3 linked regions of the Arabidopsis thaliana genome follow. The protein of the gene in region 2 interacts with the protein of the main gene of each other region in a pairwise test. Each region holds a gene or a part of one and is shown on either strand. Other genes may lie near its edges.

Evidence for each region.
Region 1: the proteins of ANNAT1 (region 2) and AT1G05640 interact in a protein complementation assay, tested with the Arabidopsis thaliana proteins (one large-scale study listed by BioGRID).
Region 3: the proteins of ANNAT1 (region 2) and AT3G61480 interact in a two-hybrid assay, tested with the Arabidopsis thaliana proteins (one large-scale study listed by BioGRID).

The regions. Positions count from the first base shown.
Region 1 is NC_003070.9:1,688,046-1,691,801, forward strand, and holds the start of AT1G05640 (Ankyrin repeat family protein), read right to left. Parts: upstream 1,911-3,756; 5' UTR 1,457-1,910; coding exon 853-1,456; intron 754-852; coding exon 344-753; intron 261-343; coding exon 1-260. Other genes in the region: AT1G05650 (Pectin lyase-like superfamily protein), read right to left, coding at 2,219-2,446, 2,557-2,785, 2,934-3,223, 3,644-3,756.
Region 2 is NC_003070.9:13,223,331-13,227,086, reverse strand, and holds the start of ANNAT1 (annexin 1), read right to left. Parts: upstream 1,920-3,756; 5' UTR 1,784-1,919; coding exon 1,708-1,783; intron 1,112-1,707; coding exon 966-1,111; intron 880-965; coding exon 148-879; 3' UTR 1-147. Other genes in the region: AT1G35710 (kinase family with leucine-rich repeat domain-containing protein), read right to left, coding at 2,701-2,987, 3,072-3,756.
Region 3 is NC_003074.8:22,748,141-22,751,896, reverse strand, and holds the start of AT3G61480 (Quinoprotein amine dehydrogenase, beta chain-like; RIC1-like guanyl-nucleotide exchange factor), read right to left. Parts: upstream 2,118-3,756; 5' UTR 1,920-2,117; coding exon 1,785-1,919; intron 1,693-1,784; coding exon 1,585-1,692; intron 1,266-1,584; coding exon 1,117-1,265; intron 1,005-1,116; coding exon 923-1,004; intron 826-922; coding exon 413-825; intron 147-412; coding exon 1-146.

The sequences.
Region 1 (3,756 bases), about 12 Mb from region 2:
CTCCGCACCCTAACACCCGTTTGGCGAGACTGTTGGAGCTGAGACTGTACCTCGTGTTTAATGTCACTGACCGTTTGGTTAAGTTGCTTAGCCGGGTTTCGAGGCTTCCCAAGATCTTTAGCTGTTGCAGCTCCTGCTTCCTTCAGAACCGACACAAGCTCTGGATTTCCAATCTTTTCGGCTATATCAAGTGCAGTATCTCCAGCCTTATTCATAGCATTAAGGTTAATTCCATCAAATGATACCAAACATCTCACTATCTGCAAGCAAAGGCAAAATGCAGTTCATCAGAATTCTTGTAGATTGAGAAACTGAGGGGAGGGGGAATTAGCGATGATGATACCTTAATACGGCCTTTGTTTGTGGCAGTGTGCAACGGCGTATTCCCTTTACTATCCTCAACACTCAAAATCGCAGGATCAGGTTTCACCAACTCAAGAACAATCCCTTCGTTCTGACCTTTGACAGCCATGTGAAGCGCTGTTTGTCCCTTCTTATCAGTTCTAAACCCGATGCTTGCATCATTACCTATCAAAGACTTAACCACTTCTCTGTGCCCCATTCGCGCTGCAGAATGAAGTGCGGTTTTACCATTGTTCTTAGCTATCTTAGCTAAATGAGAATCCGTCTTTAAAAGAAGATTCACCACATCAGTGTGTCCTTGTGAAGCAGCCGTGTGCAATGCAGTTGTACACGATAGATCCACCGTCATAGCCAGATTCGGAAATGTCTCCAACAATTTCTTCAATGCCTCTGCAAAAGACAGCACACATTCAAAGATATATGTCAAGAAGGTGTACAACAATAACAAGGTCTTCAAGTTATTATCAGATTCTCTAAAGTTTCATTTACCAATATGGCCTTGTTTTGCAGCGACATGGAAAGGATCAAAACCGTTGCGAGCTTTAACTGATGCAGTATCAAGATCCATATGTTTCAACATCTCTTCAACAACTAATGAATGCCCATTTTCTGCTGCACTATAAAGAGGGGTCTCTCCTTCTAGATTCTGCTTTGATGACAACTCCTTCAACTCTTCAATGCCGTTACAAGCTCGAATCAATTCCATAACCTTTCCCAAATTCCCCGTTCGAGCTGCGAGATGAAGAGGAGAATCTCCTCTTTTACCAGGTGAGTCAGTCTTCTTCTTCCTCTCACCACCAACATTCATGAAACTTAACTGTCTCTCCATTACTACCCTAAAGCTTTTCTGCTTCTCAACAAACCCACGAAAGCTTCTCTGCCTCTCCATTGCCCTCTCCTGTTTCTCCATTGCTCTTCCTTTGATTCCATGTTTCTCAACAACATTCACAGCTAGGAAACTAACTTGCTTGTCCAAAGCTCTTCCCTTTCTCACCTGATTCTCTGCACCAACGCATCTGAGACTCTGCTGTTCCTCCACAGAGTTACCTCGAACGCTCTCTTGCTTCTCCATAACAGGAACCAGAGAACTCATGGTATGCTTCTCCCTTAGATTACACAAAGATCTTGAATAACAACTTTTTCTCCCAAATCTGAAAGATGCCAACTTTGTTTGAAGAATCCGTGAGCTCTTTTCCAGCAACCCGTGTTTCGTAATAACAGAACCAGCTTGAAAATGGAAAACCCTGACTTCCCTGTGATTTCCAGATTTCTTGTAAAGATTCAAACCGATGTGATGAAAGAAGAGAGAGAAAAAAAAAAAAGGTTGCAGCTGATTTCAGTAGAGTGTAGCTGAAACCCAATAGATTGATTTGTAAATCTCAATGCTTTTTGTGGGCAAATCATGTAAGATTCTCAGGATATAGAGATAGAGAGAGAGACTGTGATGAGTGACTGCATCTTCAGCTGTTTTCTTTATTAATTTCGCTAAACTTCCAAAATCTTTAGTAATATTAGTGATTACTTTTTCTTTTGAGTTTTGAAGCAACAAATTCTTAATTACTATGTCAATTATCTCCAGTTTAAAACTTTATATCCAGTTAAAGCTTCTTTTCTCTAATTTCTTTATATTTTTGTTGTCCAAATCAAAGACCAAAAAGCAAAAGCACAATGTGATGGTGACAACAAGTCAAAGTCTTCCACTTTGTTGGTTACTGAAAATAATATTTTATTAATAAAAAAAAAAAAATTGTATGTTACAGAAATTGGTGATCATATACCTTGTTACAGAAAACTATTTGAAAAATCAGTTTCCTAATAACATTTCACAGTGATATCATCTTAACCCCAAATAAATTCATCGATTTAGACAACTAGTAGGTTGAATAACACCAAGATTTTTCCCAACAGCATTGAAGCACAAGGAAGTAGCAGGAGTTCCTTTGTTGTAAGTAAGCTTTATGTCTTGTAATGTGATTCCCGTGCATGGATTGCTCTTGCTACACACCAGCTTCATTGCTTCCTGCGTCGCCGAAGTTCCTTGTATGTTCTTGTACGTCACTTGGGTTATCTTCACCCCCGAATGCTAATACATACCATAAACATAATAAATCTTTAGTTATTTGACTAAGTTGATAATTTGATATAGCATATTTGATTAGTCTGAAATTGATCAAAAATATGATATGGATATACCTCAGTAGGGCAACCTTGGTTGGACGGACAATAGTTTTGGTCGATTATGATAGGGTTTTGGACGTTCCTCATGATTAGATTTTGAAAGAAGACGTTTCTAACGAATCCGGTACTCGGCCTCGCCCATGACTTTATCCTCACGCCGTTTTGTGATCCGGTGAATACCGAACTCGATACTGTCACGTTCTCTACTCCGTCTTCGTTTAACTGCTTTGCCAAACTCCCGATGCTGCCAGTCATCACATCATCATATGAGTTGTGACCAGAGTGAGTGAAGGCAATATTGCTAGTTTTTTTTTTGTTGGAAATTCATGATTCCTAACAATTAATGATATATTTACATAATTTACTCTAAGGAATTAGACGGTGGTGTATACCTAACCCCGTGACCTGGGCCACAAGCAAGCTTGGAAATTAGGAAGTTGCGGGTCCCCTGACCGATAGCAACACAATCGTCTCCGGTCTGAACGGTGCTTCCGGTTAATGTGACTCCAGTGGAGAACTGAACGGTGAAGCCGTCAGTGTTTGGGCTGTCTCCGGGAGCCACCAGCCTAATGTTACGGACGGCCACATTGGTGCAACCGTTGAGGGTCATATGGCTAACCTGGCTGTTCATCGATTTCACTCCACTTATGATCACGTCTTTTGCGGAGTTGAACGATATTGACTACAGTAATTAATATATAAACGCCATAGATTAATAATAAGATTATAAATATTTCATTTTATTTTGACCAAAGAATCCATTTCCTTGTCCAAAAATCATTATCATAATAGTTATTATATGCTTATAAAATAAATTCCTAAAAATGGCATGGATAGATCATATTGAAAATTAAATGTGCCTGAATTAATATAGTTGAAAACTATCAACTAATTCCTTTTTTTTTTTAATCGTAAGTAAATGATTGGAATAAAGATATGTTATTTGACTATTAAAAAAAATATATTGACTTATTTAGTTATTACTAATCAATAATGATTAAAGCTATTTGTTGCTCTTTTGCATTCTGGTGGCGCTTATGTATGAATGTCAGATTGTTGTTTTTATTTACAATAACTATAGATAGAGGAGAAGCATATGTACCCTAACACCGGGAGGACAATTCTGGCCAGATTTCCGGCAAGACCAGAACCCACTACCTCGAGCGTCAAAAGTCCCACCGACCAGTGAGAATCTGTTAACCTTGTTGAAGAGAA
Region 2 (3,756 bases):
AGGAACTCAAAACACACAACAGAAACAAACAAGGTTTTTGTAGAAACAAAATCAAACGATTTGAAACTCATCAAAGAGAGAGAGAGGGAGATAAGAGATAACAGAAGCTGTAGAGCAGCTTATGTTTCTCTGTGGAGGATTGATTGATTAAGCATCATCTTCACCGAGAAGTGCGACGAGCATCTTCTCGTAATCTCCACGAGTGTCTTTGGTAATAGCTTTCTCCAAAGGAATGCTGTTCCTGCGCTGGTACTCCTCTCCAATGACCTTCAAGTCAATCTCAGCTCTTGTGGTCACAATTCTAGTGAGTGCTCCTTCATCAGTTCCAGTTTTGTTGATTGCTGAACGAAGAACATCGACAAAGTAAAGCTCTGGTCTTGTCAAGCACTGAATGGTTGACCTCAAAAGTGCAAGGAACTTGTCATCATCATCTCCTTCCTCAAGACTCTTGAGAATTTCCTCGCCATGATCATCTTGGTAACGGTTAAAAGTAGCATTGATCTGAGCTTTGCTTCTTGTGGACAAGATTCTAATAACATCCTCATCATTGTAGTGCTTGTCCTTGATTTTCTCATGGACCAGCTTAGCTTCTTGCTTAGCCAATGTCATGTTCACTTCATCTCCTTCGTACCTGTATGAGGTAACAAGAGAAACCAAAAGCTTTCTGAAGTCACCGGTAGTGTGGTGAGCAACGTCCTCTTCAAGAGACTTCTTGTAGCGAGCATGGTAAGCTTGCCTAGCGTGAAGCAGCTGCGTTGATGTCCTTGTGCAAGCAACTTCCATAAGAACTTGGTTGCTTGAAGTCCATCTTTTTGTAGCTTCATTAGCCAATAAAGCATCACGCTCACCGGGTTCAAGAGTCCACAACAAGATAGCTCTCTGTCCATGACCAAAAAACCAATTAGAATACAATGACTTCACACAAGATGTTTAAAAGTCGATACTTAAAAGTCCGAAAACCGAACCTCGAAATCGTTAGAGAGCTCCTTGTCAAGAGTCTTGAGAAGGTCTTCGCCGTAGGTTTCGTGGTATGCTTGCCTGATGACTTTCCTCTGTTCAGCACTTCTGTGAGCCAAGATTGATATGATCAAGTCCTCGTTCGTACCCCATCCTGCGAAAAACACGAATCAGATTCACTTTACATAACCATCAAAGTCACATACTTCAGATCCAAGTCACACACACTTCAGATCCATAATAACAGAACCGGTCAAACAGATTCACAAAATATAAATCTTAAGATCTTAGTGTTGTATTACACGTAACTACATTATAGATCTAGACTAAGAAGACAGATCTGTGACAGTGAGAATCAAAACACAACTCAATCAAGATCTCGTGTGAATGTAATCATTGTCATTATCAACATGATCAGACAATCAAAACTTCATCACTAACACAAAAGATTGTTATAGATCACACAAAGAAAGGAGATCATTGTCACTGATCCGATCCATGAAGGAACAATCTCGATCTACATCATCGTACAAATGATCATAAAACGCTACCGACACAACATTCATATCATCGGACCAAAACAAAGATCGATCCACATGAAAAACAATCAAAACAAATGATCATACAATAACCCACCAAACGAAAACCAACAGATTCACATCACTTTTACAAAAAGTGGATACTGATCATGTAAACAAGAAGGTAACAAAAACAGAGAACGTAACAAGAAGAATCATGAAACTATTATACCTTCAAAAGCGGTTCTCAATTGCTCAGCATCATCAGAAGGAGCAGGAACAGAATCAGAAACCTTAAGAGTCGCCATTTTTCTTCTACTTTTAGTGTTTTGTGTATGTTGGGAGTCGAAGCCGACACAAGATTGACTTATAAAGGGAAAGGCTAAGAGGTTTAGGACACGACGTGGCCTGTCCGTATATACCAAAAATATCCCAAACGAATTATTAATTCTTCTGCCACGTGTTTCTTACACTTTATGAATTATTTAGCATTTGCTTAACTTTATGCACAAATCATGATTTCATAAAAAACTATCGTAATCTCGCATTAACGGTTTCATTGGTTGTCACAAAATCATCCGCAAGATTATAAGTGTTTAGATTTCGTTATTATAATCCATTTTGTATTATTTTAACACGTTACAGAGTACAAGAGTGTAAGATTTTTTTATTATCACTTGCAAACGTGATGTCCATTAGAACTCATTATACAAAAAAAAACTTATTTCTTTCTTTACAAATCTCCTACTATGCATTTTTTTTTTTAATCTCCTACTATGCATAAGAAATCTCTTACTAATTCTGGCGATATACAGATAGACAGTATCCAAAACTTTATTTGAATGTTCATATGTGAGGAGTAACACAATGACCATTATCTAAAAATGCTTTTAACAGTTTTTTTTTTTTTTTTTTTTTTTTCATTTTTTTAACTTCATAGATTTCCATTAACCAAACACATTACAAGACCAAAAGGCCTAACATGGCACGCAAGCCGCAAAGATAAAAACAAACAAGGCCCAAAGACCAACAAGGGCGCAGCCCAATACATACAAAAGCTGAAGCAGGCCGAGAAGCCCAAACAACAACAACAAAAGCTGAAACGAGAGTCGACACCCCTTCCTGCAAACACAAGCAAGAACAGAGAACAAAAGCCAACAGAGATTACTGTTGCTGTATAGATAAACACAATGATAACATAGAAATTGATGGAGAAGTTCAGTTTCTAAGAAAATGTAGTGGAGATTGACAACATCGTTGGCCGAGATTCTGGATTTGCTTGTAAACACAATAAAGCCATTTCCACCATCTTCAAGAGCTTCTCTCTATTTTGTCCCCGTGGTTCTAATACACGTTCATCGGAAATGCTTCTTAGCGACAGAGCTTCTCCTGGAGACGAAGACAAACTCGATACCAAATCTCCCGGATGTTTCCCAATTATCAATTCGAGTATCAAAACCCCGAAGCTATACACATCGCATTTCTCCGTCACCTTCATCGTGTAAGCAAACTCTGTTGCGAAAAATCAAGTTCAATTTCGAATTTAGTGATTTAAATTTCATAAGCTCAAAATCAGATTTAGGGATTTAGATTTACCTGGTGCAACGTAGCCGTAGGTTCCAGCAACGGCGGACCAGTTTGATGAATCCGTCTTTAGAAGTTTTGCTGTACCAAAATCGGAGATCTTAGCTGTGTAATCGTTATCGAGAAGGATGTTTCCGCTGCTAATATCACGGTGAACGATCGGTGTTATTCGGTCATGGTGCATATACGATAAAGCGTGAGCCACACCTTTCACGACGTTGATCCTTTTGGTCCAAGTGAGTCGCTTAGCTTCTTCGTCGTTGGCTAAGAGTTTGTTTAAACTTCCTTTTTCCATGTACTCGTAGATCAGAAATGTGTGGCGGCGGTGGGAGCAGAAGCCGAAGAGCTTCACAACGTTGCGGTGACGGATCTCTGTTAATGCTTTTACCTCGTTTAGGAACTCTTGCTTCACAACTGGCTTTGATATCTCTTCGTCTATTGTGTCATGTAGTCGTTTAACGGCTATGATTGTATCTTGGAGGTTTGCTCTGTAGACTTTGCTGTATCCTCCGGTTCCGATGAGGTGTGTTGGATCGAATTCGTTTGTTGATTCGATGATATCTTGGTATTTGAATTTGCCATCAACGCTGAATATGGACATATTCTCTCCTGTTTCAGGATCTGTGTTTCTTCCATTTTGTAGTTTTCGTTTCCGAATGCAGTAGGTGAATGTGTTTGCACATATAGAGAGAATGAC
Region 3 (3,756 bases), on a different chromosome or scaffold from region 2:
GTCCAATTTGGCGGACAGTTGACATTAATCTACATCCAGAAACAGACCAAACTGCAAGTCCTCTCGACTTCCACCCAACTGCAAAAGCAGAATTATCAGGCGTCCATGCAATGTTATTTACAGGCCCAGTGTAATCCGCTGAATAACTGCAAGTTTTAAAACAGTTTTATTAACGATGCAGCCAAAATATCAAGGGCATGAAATAAATCACAGTAAGACAACTTGAAAACTACCAAAGGCGTATAAACTTCCAGTTGTAGTATGACAAGTATGATATTATGGTCTTTACACAACACCACAATAAAAACTACTCAGATGAATAGTAATACTCAAACCTTTCAAAACAAATATTAAAAAATAAAGGTTCATCACAAAATTCCACCATCCCTTTTCATAGTAACAAGTTGCTTACCCCCAGTCATGCAAAGAAACTGTTCGCAAGAGAGAGATCGAGTGTGACAGATCATATAACTCCACCATCCCTTTTCTTGTACCCACAGCAAGAATTTGTTGCTCTGAAGCCACTGATGCACAAACAGCATCACCACCCAACTTCTTCTCAGCTCTAATACTCTCAGTGTACTTTAAACCTTTCTTATTCACAGAGCATACTACTAGCTGCCCATCCGAATTTAACACAAACAATAACTTGGAACGAGTGCAAAGTTCCAGCTGAACAATAGCCGGTTTTGTAGAGAATTTATCATCAGATGCAAGTGTTGGTGAAGCTACTCCAGAGACTAGCCCATTACCAAGAGTGTAGGACAAGAGTCTATCATCGTTGCTAGCAGAAGGGTGGGAGCCAATACTGAAAGCTCCACCAAACTACAAAGACAAACAAAACATGAGAAATCAGGAATCTTGCACAAAGAATTCAAAAACCCCAAGAACAAACAATGCAGATGAAGCAGATGTACATTACCTCTCCTTTCCAGGAAATACTATATAAAGATCCATCGGAGAGTCCCAAAAGCATAGTTTTGCTGTCCCTAACAAAATTGCTCCTGCAGAGAGAGAAAGAATTGGCCTTACATTTATAATCCCAGAGTTTTAACTGTGTAGACTCCTACGGCAAATGTTGAGCACGGCAGAGACACGTACAGAAAAAGCACTTACACAGACAAGTCCTTGCCAGCAAAAGGGACCTGCTCACTTAGCAAAAGAGATATGGTTGCAAAACACAACTCCGAGGGTTGTCTCTCTCCGGGTTTTACTCTTTTATCGGTAAACTTAATTTTATATATATGAAGGAAGAACGATGATGTCTGCGAATCAAAAAATAATTGGTGAGAAGACATACAAAAAACTGGTTTTTTCACAAGTTCCGAATTTTCATGCATCTTGATCAAACGATTCAAATAAGATACTACTGAAATTAGAGGCTTTAGAATGTCTGAAATCATCAACCAATCAAACCTAAAAACATGTTTTTTCTCATCCTTACACATAAAGAACAATCTGGAGAAGATCCAATAACAAGATTTTGTATAAACAATTCAATAAATTCTCAGCTGGATAAAGATTGATAGTGACTAAACAATTAGCAGAAATTAGCAAAGGAAAAGAGTGAGACTAAGAACTTACAAGAACAGCAATCAATTTGGAGTCTGGACTCCACACAGCTTGCAAATTCTCTCCTTCTTCTCGCAACGACTTGTCATCTCTCATATACTTTCCCAACCTCACTCGTTGCTAATTGCGGGAAAATCAAACAAAAAGCTATATAAGTTAACCAACTCTAGACTCCAATTACTACGAAATGCAGAGAGATGATGATAAAGCACCTGAGAAGAACCCCAAAGCTCCAGGTGAGACGGAGAAACGACCAGTAATAGCCGGCCGGCGAGCTTAAGGTACACGACTCGCTGCGATCCAGGTAGAAGCGGGATCACCTGCGGCCACCCGTAAGCCATATACATCTTTGGCTACCTCGAATTGAAATGGCTATCTCTCTCTACAATGGATCTGATTACAGATTCTGTTCATACACAGAGATCATAGGAACATTCGTTGGAAGAAGAAGAAGGAGAAGAAGAAGAAGATGGATCTCGCAGTCGCAGATCAATAAACGCTCAATAAACGGAGCATCAAAATTGGAATTGCCCGACCGGTTTATGTTGATCGGATTTTAATTTTGCGAATATAATTGGTTTCGGTGATACGAATCTAATTTTACGAATAAACCGGGAATCAATTATTGATTATCCTTGGTTCAAGGAGAACTCTCTCTCATTTCTCGGTTTACTCAAACCATTCTATAGACTATTAATTTAATTCTATAGAGTAATAATAATAGAATTACAAAACTAGTATACCTTCGTCTAAATTTTTAATAATTAATAATACAACTAAACTTTTGTTCTTTTTTAATCTGAATTTCCGATGTTTGATAAGTTTATATTAATTTATGATAATGATTATTAATTTATAATATTACTAGACTATATAATTACATTATATTTCCAACCAAATTATTATTTTATTAAATTATGTTAAATACTACATTGATCTCACTCGAGATTAAAAAAATAATTAATTTATAGTAATTACTAATTTATCGAGTGAGATCCTTTCTTCGTACAAAATATTTACGAATTTAATCGGTTACATATTGTGAAAGTAAACATTTTATTTAGTATTATTGAAGCTAATAACGATTTCATTAAGACACTCGTGCTATATGATACTAAAAAAAAATCAAATAGATACAAGACGTTACTTAGCTTGTTCAAAAAATAGTACTCACATGACAGAGATTCTGATGCCCCCATACTCTTTCACTTTTCTTAGTTTTATTTTTTTGGTCAAATATATAATTTCATTTGGCTAAAAGATTTAGAAATTGGAGATACAAATATTTGTCATCAAACAAGTAACATGTCTTGTCACTAACTAAACAAGAAATGATTAAAATGTATATTTATGAAAAAGCTAAACCACATATGTGGGTTGATACTTTCCATGGGTTGATTAGTTTTGACACCAAAACATAATTAAAAAAACGAGTCAGTTAAAAATAAAGTCGGATTACTTGGTTTGAAAAGAATTCTGAAACGCTAAACAAACTACACATATGTGAACTTAAAAAAATTTGGGTTGGGATTTTTTGTTTTTGACTTTAATCAACCGTTGTATTATTAATATTGATATGTGTGTTGTATAAAATGTCTTTGATAAAGAGGTATTTATATCCAATATCCACTTGTATCTCTACTATTTCTCTAGGTTAAAGAAAATAATATTTATTGTAAGTTTCATATTTAATAAAATAATATTTCTACGATTTCATAGAAACCCCAAAAAATAAACAATTAAATTTCATGTACTACTATGTAAGTTTTTTTTAGCTCTCTCTCTCTCCTCCGTGCACCATTTCCCGATCATCACCGCCGTGCACCATATTCCGATCATTACCATTGCTTTCTCTGTCTCTCTCCCTCTTCTCCGTGCTCTCTCTCTCTCTCTCGTGTTTTTATATAAAAGTACTTAAGAAAAAAACAAAAAAACAAAAGATGGTTCTTCGTTCTCACACACTATATATTCGGAAAACCATCTATATAAGCTCTCACTCTCTCTCTCTGGATGGAAGCTCTCGCTCTGATCTCACAATGTAAGCTCTCTCTTTCTCTCTCTCTCTGTTGTGTGTTTGTATTTCTCTCCGACGCTAGATTTCTCCATGGTTCTTATGAGCTGAGCACCGCCGAAGCTTTCCTCTGCATTCCGTCTTCTCTCTCTGTTTTTTTCTCCTTTCTCCGA